Stegostoma tigrinum: one gene and its partner. The protein of the gene in region 1 interacts with the protein of each later gene in a pairwise test. Links are inferred from orthologs where the notes say so. Each region holds a gene or a part of one and is shown in the gene's direction. Other genes may lie near its edges.

Evidence for each region.
Region 2: the proteins of transducin-like enhancer protein 1 (region 1) and foxa2 interact in a two-hybrid assay, tested with the Homo sapiens proteins (2 studies listed by BioGRID and IntAct). The link is inferred for Stegostoma tigrinum from reciprocal best matches to the Homo sapiens genes TLE1 and FOXA2.

The regions. Positions count from the first base shown.
Region 1 is NC_081356.1:61,834,756-61,841,996, forward strand, and holds the start of transducin-like enhancer protein 1, read left to right. Parts: upstream 1-4,238; 5' UTR 4,239-4,345; intron 4,346-4,374; exon of another isoform or gene 4,375-4,747; 5' UTR 4,748-4,832; coding exon 4,833-4,856; intron 4,857-5,328; coding exon 5,329-5,429; intron 5,430-6,043; coding exon 6,044-6,107; intron 6,108-6,264; coding exon 6,265-6,309; intron 6,310-7,241. UniProt on the Homo sapiens protein: Transcriptional corepressor that binds to a number of transcription factors. Inhibits NF-kappa-B-regulated gene expression. Inhibits the transcriptional activation mediated by FOXA2, and by CTNNB1 and TCF family members in Wnt signaling.
Region 2 is NC_081362.1:11,946,322-11,953,837, forward strand, and holds foxa2 (forkhead box protein A2), read left to right. Parts: upstream 1-4,749; 5' UTR 4,750-4,892; coding exon 4,893-4,979; exon of another isoform or gene 4,980-4,991; intron 4,992-5,712; coding exon 5,713-6,942; 3' UTR 6,943-7,007; downstream 7,008-7,516. UniProt on the Homo sapiens protein: Transcription factor that is involved in embryonic development, establishment of tissue-specific gene expression and regulation of gene expression in differentiated tissues.

The DNA.
Region 1 (7,241 bases):
CAGTCTTTTTGTCAGCTTCTTTCTAACCACTGAAGAGACCTGCTTTAGTAGTGACTAGATTTCACCTTGACTGCTTTCTCTGATTACATAGTAAACATGTAAATTTACTCTGTGTTGCTGTGTCGCATACAATGTCACTGAGGGGTTGAATCAGAAACTTACTTGATTATACAGCTGAAGTGTTTGCATTGGCTGCATGATGGATAAATAAGATAGTTGCAGGGTTATGTAAATAGTATATCCTATTCTATATAATGCTTCCAATTGCATGCTTATCTGATGTGAAGTATTTTCTAAATGGATGCAAATATAAATCAAGGTTTTTGGTTATTGCTTGAAACTATTGATGTCATATTTCCAGATAGATGTGTGCTTTATTCAAATATACCTCCACCTAGAACAGTGAATTATGCAAATGGTTGACACTTTTGCCTTCTCCACTCCATCTATACGTTCTCCCCCAATCATCAGCTCTACTTGAAATTGAAGAGCAAATTTTAATCTTGACACTGCTGTGTAACAAGAGCACTAGAATGCATTGAGGAGCCAGTCTTGGTTATCTCCCCTTTAAATGAAATAATGAGCCTTTGGCTATATCCAGGTATAAGTTACAAGGATGCATTCCACAAACTGCAATTGTATTCTGTTGAGTTTAGAAGGTTTAAGGGAGATTTGATAAAAAGTTTGCACAGTACTAAGGGGAACTTGTAGGATAAATAAAAATGAATTCTTTTCATTGGCTGGGTGTCTAGTTCCAGGGGAATATAAATTAGAACCTGACCTTTAAGAAAAGAAGTTAGGAAACACTTCCACAGGAAAAAGGTTGATAGAAGTTTGGAATTGCAAACTGTAATTAATACTAGATCAATTGTAAGCTTTAAATCCGAGATTAGTAGATATTTGTTTTTCAAGGGATACAGGACAAAGGTGGGTTTATGGAATTAGGCCATAGATCAGTCATGATGATACTTTATGAGTTTAATGGAACTTTAGCTAAAATCAACAAGTTTATAATTATTGAGTTATAGCCCTATAAAACTGTTTTAGTATAGGATTCCTTGTTAGCTGATTCCATTATAACAATATTCTAGCACTGCAATCTTGTAAAAGATCCACACTTCTAGTCAGGAAATCTGTATCATTGGGAAAAAAATTACATAAAATTAGACAGTAGAATTAAGTGAGGTCAATGAACATTGAAGTTTGAAAAGTTGTAAGAAGATAAAACACAGTTAAAAATGTATGTACCAGATTGCAATCAGACCATATTTAGTCTTTAGAATTTGATGCTACGCAAATTTAGCATTTTGGAGACTTGTAAATACCCAGAATTCTTAGCACACACTGAAGGTGGAGATGAGTGTGGGCTCTTGCATTATGGAAAGTGTGCAGCTGCTCCACCTGCCATTTGTGTTGGTGTGAACTTAAGCCTTTGGAGGCTTGGGATTTATTAGCAAACTGCTAGGCAGCTACAGATGCCCAGAGAGATCCCATTGCACCTTGTTTGTTCTTGGAGTTAGAAGTTATCCAGATCTAATGTTGATCTAGATGGAAAGTCAGGCAGGAAGAAGTCCAATGGAGTGCACAGTAAGGGGAGTGGGGGGATAGAAAGGTAGCGAGAAGTTGTAGTGACCAAATACACCAGCAGTGAGAGATTTTTTTCAAGAACCAGAGGGGCATTGTTGATCCTCTTGGACTTATGTAAAAAAAACAAGCTTATCTTAACTGTTTATTGAGCAACCATCAATAATTCATTTGAGAACTGCTAGTTAACCAGGTTTGGTGCATGATTCTCTAAGCAATATATGGAAAATTGTTTATAATTTTAATTTGTATATTTAGCAACCTACATCTGTTCCAGGGGATTGATAGCCCACTCATCCACACATTTGTGTTGAAGTTGCAATGCGCAAGTTTATAGCATTAATGCGCAGGTTAAGGTGAAACTTCTGACAAACTTATATATACCCCTAACCCTTGCAAAAAATTCACCCTCTCTCACTCCAACCTGACAATCATACCAAACCACCAGTCTCCAGCAGCCCACCATCTTCAATGTTTTCAGCTGCTGCCATCTGCCCTTTCTGTGGCAGGCAGTTGAAAATTATCCCAAAAATAGTCAAATTCAAGTGCACTTTAAGGTAAAGCAGGAATTAAGGACAGGGAGTAATGTTGAGTTTCATGAAGTTGAACCATATTTTCATATATTACTTTAAATTTAGTTGTTATCTAGCAGAGTTGTTCTAAAATTTTGCAATTTGAAAAGCAGGGCATGATTTTTTAAATATATAATCTTCCCTTAGCAGTACAAGCTGTCTGTAATTGCAAAGTTGAAATGGTGTGACAGCATGGTAACCATACAGAAATTGTTTTAAAAACACAGTACCATGACAAAAGCATGAAATATTTGAACTCAAGAATTGTTTATAGAATACTCCGATATAATGATGTGAAAATAAGGACTGGATATGTGGTTTAAAAATGGGAACTGATTTACAGCTGCATATAATCGCACACTGCCCTCTAAACCAGATTCATCTGAAATATAAACACAGAAATTGATGGTAAACATCAGTTGTTCTGAGGAAGGGTCACTGGAACCGACACGTTAACTCAGATTTTTCTTCACAGATGCTACCAGACCTACCGAGTAAAATTGCTGGAAGAGCTCATCAGGTCTGACAGTGTCTGTTGAGAAAACTCAGAATTAACTCTTCGGGTTCGGTGATCCTTCTTCGGACCTGCTGAGCTTTTCCAGCAATTTCTGTTTTTGTTTCTGATTCTAGAATCCGTAGATCTTTTGGTTCGCATTTGAAATATTCAGTCCTCATTCCCAGTGTGCAGTGTATTGTTAATTTTTTAATCGTTCCATAGCCTATTACTGTGTAAGATGTCTATGTATGTATATTAAAAGTTAACTTGTTATTAATACGGGGAATTGTCTGCATTTTTACGACACCTTGGTAAAGGGTTCGCGGATGGCATGACGCCTTGACAGGAGCGATACCATGAGTTACTTAGGAGTGGAATAAGAATATTATATTGTACTAAGATTCTTGTCATGAAGCAGTTGAAACAAATGAAGGCGTCTTTTAGGTATCGCGCGTGTGGTCTGGAGTCTTTACATTTACCACAGTTTCAGCTCACAGAGGTCCTGCGTGCAAAGAAGGTATTGTCTGGAGAATATCACCACGAGACTTTCCCCCAACAAAAATCTAGTCCGGACCCCGAGCAAATTGTAGTCTGGGTGGGGGTGGTGTTGGTGGAGGTGAGAGCGGGGGTGGTTGTAATAGATATAATCTGTTTCTCAACACATATAACTATTTCCAATAATTAATTAACGTTCACCGTGAATACTTCTTGTGTCACTTAACAAGCGAGGAGAGCTGTAAACAGAATAAATCTATGTAATCAAGTCTGGAAAAGCCGATATAATACCTGTTAAACATCTGGATACAATTTTCTAGTAAAACGAAATGAAAACACACGTGGGCCGCTTTGATGTGCATTTCAGCACTAACATTGTTGATGTGTTGACGCTTTTACCAAACCTAGGACTTAAAATGAAGTAGATCTTGATAAAAATTGGGGAGCGGGGAGCGATGTGGAGGGGCGGCATAAGTACCTACCAAATAAATTCCAATTTATTTAATTAATGCTTCGTATATAACAAGACCTAAAATTATGATTACATTGGCTTCAAGGAAACCGTTTTGTTCAAAGTTGCTTTCGACAATCATAACAGCCCGACAAAATGCACTGCAACAAAACCGAGATGTGAAGCTTCTCTACATTGTTATAATTAGTTAACATTCCTGCTCTGGTTCTTTTAGTTGTGGGTGGGACAAAGGCTCGTCTGTCTGTGTTTTTTCCCCTGTCAGTGTTTGGAACCCACGTTACTTTGAGTGACAGCTGAGCCCGCCACCGCCCTATTGTCTCTCTCTGACTGACTGACGGACGGCCACTCGTTTGATTCGAACCGTTTCAGTTTAGCCCGCGCGGGTGGTGGGGGCAATGCGAAGGCGGGGTGAAAGAATTAGACCAATCAGAAAGAGACAAACGGACACAATACTGCCCTTAATTGGTCTGAGGGCGAAGCCGTCAGCGTGATTGATGTGCAATAGTATCCAATGGAAAAAGAGTCCAATGGCAGGCCGTCTTGCGATTGCTGGGTTCAGTCTCCGCTCAGCTTGACTGACAGCTGGCCTCCTGCGGTCACCACCTTCCATTGGGCAACACTCCGTGATGACGACATAACCCCACGTGTGACAGAGGTCGCTTTCCGGATCCTGATTGGCGTAGAATGGAACGGAACGTAGCCTCAGACTGCGCGTGTCTAAATTTGGTGAGCGATCTCTCGAGGGGGGGTGGGGGGAAGCGAAGAAACCGCGTGTTAATGTAACCAGTCTGTGTGGGGGAAACTGCTACATTGTTTTCCACTGTAGCAATTATACCCGCTTAAACTTCGCACGGTATACCTTTTATATTTATTCTATTGGATATACTGCAATCGAAAAAAAGAGAAGTCGAGAAGATTTCCTGGGGCGGCTTAGGAATTTGTTCTTGTTACAGAAGTGGCAATTGCTGTTTTCCGAAAGGTTTTGTTGTCCTAAAGATCGACAGGAGTTGAATCGGGACAGCGGAATCTGCCAGCCTCCCTGAGGGCTTTAAAGCCTCTTAAAACACCACCTTTTTGGGGATCCGAACCCAGGATGCGCTTGCAGTAAACACTTTATTTTTCTTTTAGAGGGGATTGTTATTAATGTGCGTTTCTTAAAGAAGATCGAGCGATTGTTTGAGCAACGGAACTGAGCTTCTGGCGGACCCAAGCAATGTTTCCTCAGAGCAGGCATCCTGTAAGTAAAGAGAAAGCAGCTCTCCTGGCCAACCGCTTTGTTACTTCATTGTGTGATCTTTATTCAAGGAAAGGAAAACACCTTCAGCGGACTAATGTATAGTTGCACTACCAGCAACGTGTCGTGTGATGTATTTTGTAAGCGGAAAACTACTTCTAGCCGGTTCCCAAAAATCTGCGTGCACATCAGTTCATTACTATGTTTTGAACCAATGTCATCTCAATAACTGTCCCCCTGAAAGTTGGGCAGGAAGATCACTGATTCTACTGAGCTTACTTGGACCAACAAAAGGTCCGGTGTTTAATTCTGTCAGAGGACCTTGCCCTCTTTCAGTGTCATGTGTTTGTGTTCGTCGCTTTCTTCTGTCGGAAAGTTTCTGATATAAATCTGCCTAGGCTGCGCGTTGATTCGTTCGCGATCTGTTATCTCTGTGTACTTGTAATTCTTGTTTCCTTACCTACTGTTTTCTCAGACGCCGCACCAGGCTGCAGCCCAGCCTTTCAAATTTACCATCCCCGAATCGTTGGACCGTATTAAAGAAGAGTTCCAGTTTTTACAGGCTCAGTATCACAGGTGAAAGAAGTCTCCCATTCTCTGCCGGGGAAAAGTATGTTTATTTGCTGCTGGTTAGTCCAGGCTCCAGTGTTATTTGGTTTGTCTGCGGTAGGTAGCCAGTGGTTACTTTGCCTCACCAGAGAGCGGCGCTCTCGCTGCGGCCAGATTTTGTTTCCTTTCAAAAGATTGCAACAAACCACACATTGAGGAAACCAGGAGCCTGAGTGATCTAAACCCTCTGAACTGTTTTTTTTGACACTCATGAATTACATCGTTGAAAATCGTAAATTACATGAGCTGATTTCGATTGCGTATAATTCGGTTTAAGTCAATACTTTATCCATTTAGAACAATTGAGTTTATTTGCTTTATGTATCTTGATGTTTACAGTTGAATTTTAATATCCGGTCCATTACAAGGGGTCGAGTTGTCCTTTTGATTTATCCAGTACTTCCGCTTTTGCCATTACTGCAGTCTCTTATGTAGGTACTCTATTTAAGATGCTTTCTTGTTGCTTCAAGAAGTTCCTATGTTGACATTCTCGGGGTTGTTAGGGATCGGTAACAAGCACTGGACCTTGTAACGACAGTTACATCTTGTGAAAGATTTTTTTTAAATTTTGTGTTTTATAGTCTAAAATTGGAATGTGAGAAATTGGCAAGTGAAAAGACAGAAATGCAGCGACACTATGTTATGGTGAGTTTAAACAATTATTTTGTAAAATTAGAAGTAGCGTGGTATTAGTTTGTGACGTTATCCAATCTGACCTGGGGAGTAGACTACTGAAAACTCACTCTTCAGTTTCATCAAAAGATCACTATCACTTGGTTTATCATTTTTTTTTCCTTTACAGTATTATGAAATGTCTTATGGATTGAATATTGAGATGCACAAACAGGTAAGCTCATTTTTATAGAAACATTTTTTTTGGGCATGGTAAAGTAGAAGTAGCAAAACATTTCCCATCAACAAATCTAATCTGAAGGAAGAAAATAACTTAACCATTTTGGATCAGGTCATTAATTAGAACTTGGAATGTTTACCTTTTCTTTCAGATGTTGGTTAGAGCTGCTACATTTTCTTAATAGCAAGTATTTCATTTCAAATTTCACTTTTTAATGTTGTATGGTGGATTAGGGTTACAGGAAAACAAATGTATTTACAACATAATGTTAAAATCCAAATGTTATTGTATGGCTGGAAAGTTGGCATGATCATCACGGCTTGATAAACAGAATTTATTATTCTAGAAGGTTTTATGTATTGTCCACAGAGCATGGTGTAGTGTAAGTAATGCTCTTATATACACAAAGATCTAATTTAAGGTGAACTGATGCTGCTGCTTGGCTCTGCATGTGGAGTTTATGGGGATGGGAGAAATAAAAGCTCTTTGAGGTTTAAAGCAACGGTCATAAGTTACTGCATTGTATATTTGTGATAACTGAAGCTGCTGTTGTACATGAGGCGTAGATACTCAATTGATGAACTGAAATGAGGCAAAACTATTTTTGAGAATATTAAAATAACAAACAAAGCACAAGGAAGGTGGACAATGTGCGCAAAGCAAATCTCAAGTGATTGATGTATTAAATGGCGCTTTGACTCTGGTTGTTTGCCAAGAAAGCATTAATTGTGGGATGCAAGCTACCCAAGAGAAGTAGTGACTTTGTGATTTCTAATCCTCAAGATTCGATTGATAGTAAGTCCTTAAGACATTGATTTACTTCTTAAAAGGTCACTATTAAATTATCTCCTCAGCTGATGCATGCTTGCCCAAAAAAATGGGAATGTGTTTCAACTTGGCTTTTGCTTTGATTGATATAATGCTGT
Region 2 (7,516 bases), on another chromosome or scaffold:
GCATAATGGTCTCTATCTGCATTGTAGGGATGATTCTACAAAAAAATGAGAAAGACTGATTTACCTCGATTGCCCAACATGGGACTTTGAAGCTCTGTTTCAGATGTTGCCCCTGCGGGGTCTTTAGTTGCACTCTATGTAGGAATGCAAATTCTATGCTTGGTGGATTCCACAATGTAAGGGAGTCACAAAAGTGCAAATGGTTGTGACCAACACCTCGCCTTTCCTTCACTGACAGCACCAGCCTTTCCAGGCATCTGCTTACTGCGCTTGTCATATATCTTTTCCCCAGGGTAGGGGAATTCAAAACAGCAGAGGTTTCAGGGGAGAGAGGAAAAGATTTAAAAGAGACCTGAGGGGCAACTTTTTCACGCAGAGAATGGTGCCTATCTGGAATGAGCTGTCAGAGGAAGTGGTACATGCAAATACAGTGACAACATTGAAAAGACATTTGGACAAGTAAACAAACAGGAAACGTGTATAGGAATATGGGCCAAACACAGACAAATGGGGCTAGTTCAGTTTGTGAGACTTGGCATGGACAGGTTGGACCAGACGGTCTGTTTCTGTGCTGTATGACTCTATGACTCATTATTACACTTCTAGCAGTTGCAACTGAACGCAGTTCTTCACGAAGAATTCTATTTTGTAGGAGGAAGCCCTAACATGCCTACCACAAGCATCCTGAAGCCTGCTAATTCGACACAGTATAATCTTCATATAAAAATAGAGGATGCAAGGACAAGTTAATGAGCATGTTAAAATTAAATACATCAGCCCTTGGTTTTATTAATACACACTTTGTAAGAAAACTATGCTGAACCTTTGAACTGAACTAAATCATTGCATCCATCTCTGCACATCACACTTCAGAAAGGATGTCAAAGCCTTGACGAAGGTACATGTAAAGTTTGAAATCTCTGAATAGTGTTCACTCACAGGTGCTGGTCTGTACAGGTGTAAGAAGGACCTCTCAGAGTTTAATTTTAATTTTGATCTCATTCTCTGTGCACCTTCTCTGCAACTGTTAACATTCCATTCCCTGCTCTGTTTTATTGCCCTAATGTCCTTTGTATGAGCTGTACTGCGCACAAAACAAAACTTTTCGTTGTACCTAGGTACATTGCAACAATAAATCAAATCAAATCAAAGAAGAAGGGAGAAAACACTGCAGTAGCTGTCAAGCATTCGTTGTTCAATTCTGGTTTAACTGAAGCGGAGTCTGAGTTTCAAGAACTTGCGCTTGGCTGACAACATCACAGGACAAACAAAAAAAAATTAGATCAGATTAAAGGGACCTCAATTTTCTAAAGGAACTAAAGATGCTGAGTTCATTCCACTTGGCATCAAGAAGGCTCAGGTGAAATCTAATAGGGATGTTCAAAATGCGGTGTCTCAATGATCAGCACTGCTGCCTCACAGCGCCATGAACCTGGGTTCAATTCCACCCTCTGGTGAGTGTCTGCGTGCACATTCTCCCCGCGTCTGCGTGGGTTTCCTTCTGGTGCTCCGGTTTCCTCCCACAGTCCAGGCTCGGCGGATTGCTAAATTGCCCGTAGTGTCCGGGGATGCGCTGGTTAGGTGGATTAGCCATGGGAAATGCAAGGTTAGAGGCTAGAGGGGTGAGTATGGGTGGGATGCTGTTCGGAGAAGGGGTGTAGACATGAGGGGGCCGAATGGTCTGTTTCCACACTGTGTGGATTCTACGTAAACTGTTGTGAATAAACAGTTTCCAGCAACTAACGCACGAATACGAAATAGTAGGCTATAGAATATGCAGCAAGTTGCCTCGGTGGGGTACGCTCTGCATGAAAATGTGGTGAAGACTTGTTTCAATTGTAACATCAAAAAAAACATTGACTTACACATTTCTAAACGGGAAGACCTGCCATGCTCTGTGTAAAGATTAAGGGGATTGAAACTGACTGTAGAGCTGAAATATAGGCCAAATGGTTTCCATATGCAGGCGAAACAAACAAAAACTGATCCGCTACACTTTCCGGAGGTAGGAAACGGGGATGTTCACAATGTTCAAACACCTACTGAAAAGGAAGATTCCCATCGAATTAACAGTGTTTGGTGTAATAGGTGAGAAAAGTTGGTCAGAACTGGCTGTGGTGTAATTACCACCAGGGGGAGCCCTTGTCCAACTTTTTTATTCTGTTTATCGTGGCAAACTCATTCATATCATTACAGTACAAATCATTCAAATCGCGGTCCGTGTACTCTGTCATGAAACAGAAGCCCTCTGGTTTGGTACGGCTGTGGTGACTTTATTTTTAGAACATTTTGAAATCAAGACTTTTTTTCTCTATTTCATTGGCTAATTCGCTGCACTAGAAGAAAAAAATGCTTCAATATTGAAACCAGCGCTGTTCTTACCTGGGCTGTGAGTCACTATCAGGTGTCGCGTTTTTTTTGTTGCAGGAGGGGACGAGCCGCTAACACTTTCTTTTTAAAAATAAAGTTTGTGTAACACTCCCCTTCGGAAAGTAAATGCAAACAAGGTCAACTTTTACAGCTTTGAGCGCTGTGAGCCAGACGAGGTGTTTTTCAGTAAACATTTGCTCTGGGGAAGTCTCTGCTTGCTGCTGGAAAATCTAAGAACGGCCCACACGCTCGCTAGGGTGGGGGGGGGGGGAGAGAAAGAAAAACATTTATAAACGTTATGGATTAACAGCGAAAGTTCCAAAATACCAGCGCTGTTTGCATGAGCTGGAGGCACCCATTAGATGTGATCAGAGGGGCTCAAATCTGTTTCTTCCTAATGGACCAAGCTGCCCCTTCAAATAATGGGCCGCATTGCTGAGAAGCTGCAGGAGAGATTGAATTATACCTCCTTTCCATTAATATTTCATACAGCCACGAGATTACTGTTTATTTATTATGGGTTTGTTTTTCAGTAATAGTTTCATAACGTGTTTGCTTTTATTTTTCTGTAGCTGCGTGGACTTGTTGTTACTCTACTAGATACCCCTTGTGATTTTGATGGGGACACAGTGGGCAGAATTCCCTGAAACAATTACCAGACCCCATCAGTAGTGGGGCTTGTAATCTGCTGCCGGATTAAAATATACCTCAGACAACCTGATTTATGTCCCACATTCAGTGGTCTCCTGAATGGAAATCGAAAAGGCCCTCACACTTCCACTGTGGTCCCTCTCCTTCGTCAGGTGAAACACAGAATGCAGCCTCGCAGTATCAATGTTGTAGTGCTCGTATTCCGCTTACAGCTAGTCTCGCATTAGAAGCTGTTTTCACTGCACAGTCTTAATGTACTGCAGGGGTTATTGAAACTCCATAACATTTCCACCAACTCCCCCCAAACCACTCATTTCCTCACCCCCAGAATGACTAAACGAAAACATTTCTCGATAAGGAGTGTCATTTTCTCATGAATGTTAAGTCCACCAGTGATGCAGGAATCACAAAGTGGGTCGGTTTCAGCTGCATTTAAACTCGGCTCAAAAACAAAAGATGCTTTGAAAAAAGACATTTGTCCTGAAAAAAGGAATTTCGAGGTGCTTCAAGCGCCTATTTGTACATATACAAACGCTGACTAATGGTAGGAAACTGAGTTGTGTTTTGAAGAAATGAACAGAATAATATGGTGTGTGTGTGTGTTTGTGCACGTATGTGTGTCCGCGCAGGTGTGTCTGACACGCCGTTTTACTAAAATTATTACCATCTCCCGTGTCTTTAGCAACGATCAATTGTAAACCACGGATCTTTCTGAATTTCTCGAAGGAGCCATGCACCTTTTCCGGGCAGTTCAGTATTCGCAAGTTTGGCGGCGCCAGTGAAAAGGCGCATGCTGTCTCCTCTATCCTCAAGACAATTAAAACTGAGCCAAGGGTAGAGTGTTACCCTCATGAAGGCGGGTTAATATTATATCGATTTCCATTATATACCCCCTGGGAAAAAAAGTATGCTTGTTTTTCTTACAATAATGGTCGCAGGAAGGAGTTCTTTGGGACTATGTTAAACATACAACCGAGTCAGCTTGCACCCCATAATCACGCCCCGAGGCCTCCCTTCGAGATACGGATGGAGCCCAGCTTTGATTTTCAGAGGAAAGCAGCCGGTCATTTTTTAGCAACTAGCTTATTTATGTGTGCAATACGCTGTGACAGTCCACGGTTTAAATTTATGTCCGGTGTAAGAGCTCTGGGTGAGGAAGGGGTGAAGATGGGGGTGGCTGGAGAGACATAATGAAACGTGACAGATCTCAAACTCTTGTTCAATAAAGAAAACCAAATCTTAATTTGCCAATTTCCATTTACAAAATGACTCACGTTGCAGCGCGGACATTTCCAATGGACCAGGTTTTTCTTTTGGACTTTTTTTTCCCCCAAAGAAGTGAGGTAGAAATTCCCTCCATTCCACACGACCCCCTCCCCCTTCGAAATCTATAAATGGAACAAATCACACGTAGGTTTAATGAATTTGTTCAAAATTCTTCTCCCACCGCCCCCCCCCCCCCCCACGTTTTGATGCTGGTAGCAGGTGGGGGCCAAGCTGTGTGTTCTCACGGCTAGGTGTGAAATGATTATTCAAATAGGATTGCGAGGAAATTGGGGATTGGCGGTCTGACTGCTTATATCACCGTGCACCGCTGAGCCACTCACGTCACTCCAAACTACTGTCATCGCTAGGATCGCTGGTTCGCTGCAGTTTAGCATTAGGGCTGCAGAATCCAGCACTTCCCCCACCCTCAACTCCCCCACCCCTCCCCTCCACCCCCACCAACACATACACACACCCCCTCCGCCACCTCCCACACACAACACACCCCTCCCCAAAAAATAAGCCATTCCGCAATCGGACACGGGGGTAATCTATCGCCCACGATCAGCAGGAACTTTTTCTCTCTCTCTCTCTCGAGCCCTATAATGCACCCTACCTCCAGTATGCTAGGCGCAGTGAAAATGGAAGGACACGACCACACAGACTGGAGTTCCTACTATGCAGAGTCCGAGGTAAGCTTTCGGCGCTTTTTTTTTTGGTTTTTTTAAAGCAATCCTCTTTATGTACAAGATAATATTAGCCTTAAGATAATATTAACTTTGTGATCAAATATTGACTTGCGCGGCTCCAATTCCTCCTCGATTTGTACCTCAACAGTCTTTAAACAATGTTGTATTTGGCTAAAATAAAGTTTCTGTTGTACATTTACATACTTCGAAAGCGCTGGAGACCTAACTTATTTAGCTCCCTTTTACTTTGAGCTGATCGTTAAACTCAAACCTTATTTATTCGAAAGTCAGATGTTGAGTGAGTTTTGGCTACGCCACGGTTTTATTAAATGCCTTTTGACAGGTCCGCTTTAATGCAGCTGTTTTTGTTACAATTTTTTTACGTCCTTTATCGCCTTTAATTTAGTTCAACCGTTTCATTATTTTCCTTTCAAATCGTTACTGCAGGAAAATTCGTTGAATTTTTTTCAGGCAGAATTAACGATCGAGTTTGATAGTTAAAATGCAATTCAATAGACTTTTTTCTCTTTTGTATACAATAATAAAAACCCAATTATCAATTTTTTTAAAAAGTGAGATTTTGCTTCTCAGGAGTGAGTGGGACGCATTGTGAGTGATGCCAACATGGAAGTGAATGCCTTGTTACTGTCTGCTTTTACGATTAGCTCAGGCGCTTAAGGGCAGTTCGTTTCTCAAAACAAAGGTGACCGTCTGCTTTTCTTGTTTCCTGCCCTAGGGTTACCCCTCAGTAAGCAATATGAATGGGGGGATTGGAATGAATGGCATGAACACCTACATGACTATGTCCGCGATGGGCACCACGGCCAACATGACAGCAGGGTCCATGAACATGTCTTACGTTGGCACCGGCATGAGCCCGGCTATGACTGGCATGTCCCCCGGAGCAGGGGCAATGAATGGCATGGGAGCAGGCATGACGGGCATGGGCAGCGCCTTGAGCCCCAGCATGAGTCCGATGAGCGCCCAGGCGACTTCCATGAACGCCCTGACCTCGTACACCAACATGAGCATGAGTCCGCTCTACGGCCAATCCAACCTGAACAGGTCCAGGGATCCCAAGACCTACCGCCGCAGTTATACCCACGCCAAGCCTCCTTACTCCTACATCTCCCTTATCACCATGGCCATTCAGCAGTCTCCCAACAAGATGCTGACTCTCAGTGAGATCTACCAGTGGATCATGGATCTGTTCCCTTTTTACCGCCAGAACCAGCAACGTTGGCAGAACTCCATCCGCCACTCGCTCTCCTTCAATGACTGTTTCCTGAAGGTGCCCAGATCCCCAGACAAACCGGGCAAAGGCTCGTTCTGGACCTTGCACCCTGACTCGGGGAATATGTTCGAGAACGGCTGCTACCTGCGGCGCCAGAAGCGCTTCAAGTGCGAGAAGAAGCAGGCGCTAAAGAATTCGCAGCAAGACCCCGGCCGCAAGGCGTCCGAGAGCTGCTCCGCCGGCAGCGGCACCGATACCAGCGCCGGGAACGAGTCACCGCAGTCCGGCGGGTCTCCCGGCGGCGGAGGCGGAGGAGGAGGAGGCGAGCCCAAGAGACCGCTGGCTGACCTCAAGTCCCGGAGCTCCACCCTGAGCCCGGAGCACGGTAACGGAGCGGTGAGCCAGGCGCCTCCGCCACCGCCTCACCTCATGCACCAGCATCACCCGGTGCTGTCCCACCTGCCGTCGCAAGGTCAGGAGCACCTGAAACCCGAGCACCACTACTCGTTCAACCACCCGTTCTCAATCAACAACTTGATGTCTTCCGAACAGCAACATCACAAAATGGACTTGAAGGCGTATGACCAAGTAATGCATTACTCTAACTATAGCTCCCCTATGTCCGCCAACCTCCCCATGACCTCCAAAGGGGTCTTAGATCCATCGTCCATCGCCAACGACACGTCTTACTACCAAGGTGTGTATTCCAGACCAATCATGAACTCATCTTAAACCTATCCCCCTCTCACAATCGGACTGGGTCAACTCTGTACATTTTTGTAAGAATTATTAATTAAGGGAGGGAGGGAGGGAGGGTGTGTGGGGGCGAATCTTATGCGCAGGCAATTGGAATTTTTTTTGTTTTGTTGATGTTTTCAAACTGTTAGCTGTTCAGCGATTCCTCTTCACGGTTGTTTTTGGACTGTATATTGCGCGCCGTTTCAAATGTCTTCTGTTTGGTTTGGCTGCTTCAGAATACAACGAGGCGTTTAATATAACGACGTTTCTGTACTGTGCACAGTTCTCTTGTCGATTTCTCTCTTTGAGGACGAATTCTTATTTAAAAAAAGAACATCCCCCTTCCCTATACGTTTCAAATTTCGAAAGTGTTACTCGCATATAACATCAAAACAAAAACCCTATCGGCAAATAATTTATAGTTTTTTTGTCCGTTTATTTATAATTGGGGGGCACCCTTTAATGCGATCGGTTTGTCTCCCCCTCAGAATCTTGTATTAACCCGAAGTCTTCAATGTTCAATGTATACACCGATTTCTGTCTGATCCTGTCCCCTCCGAGAACTACG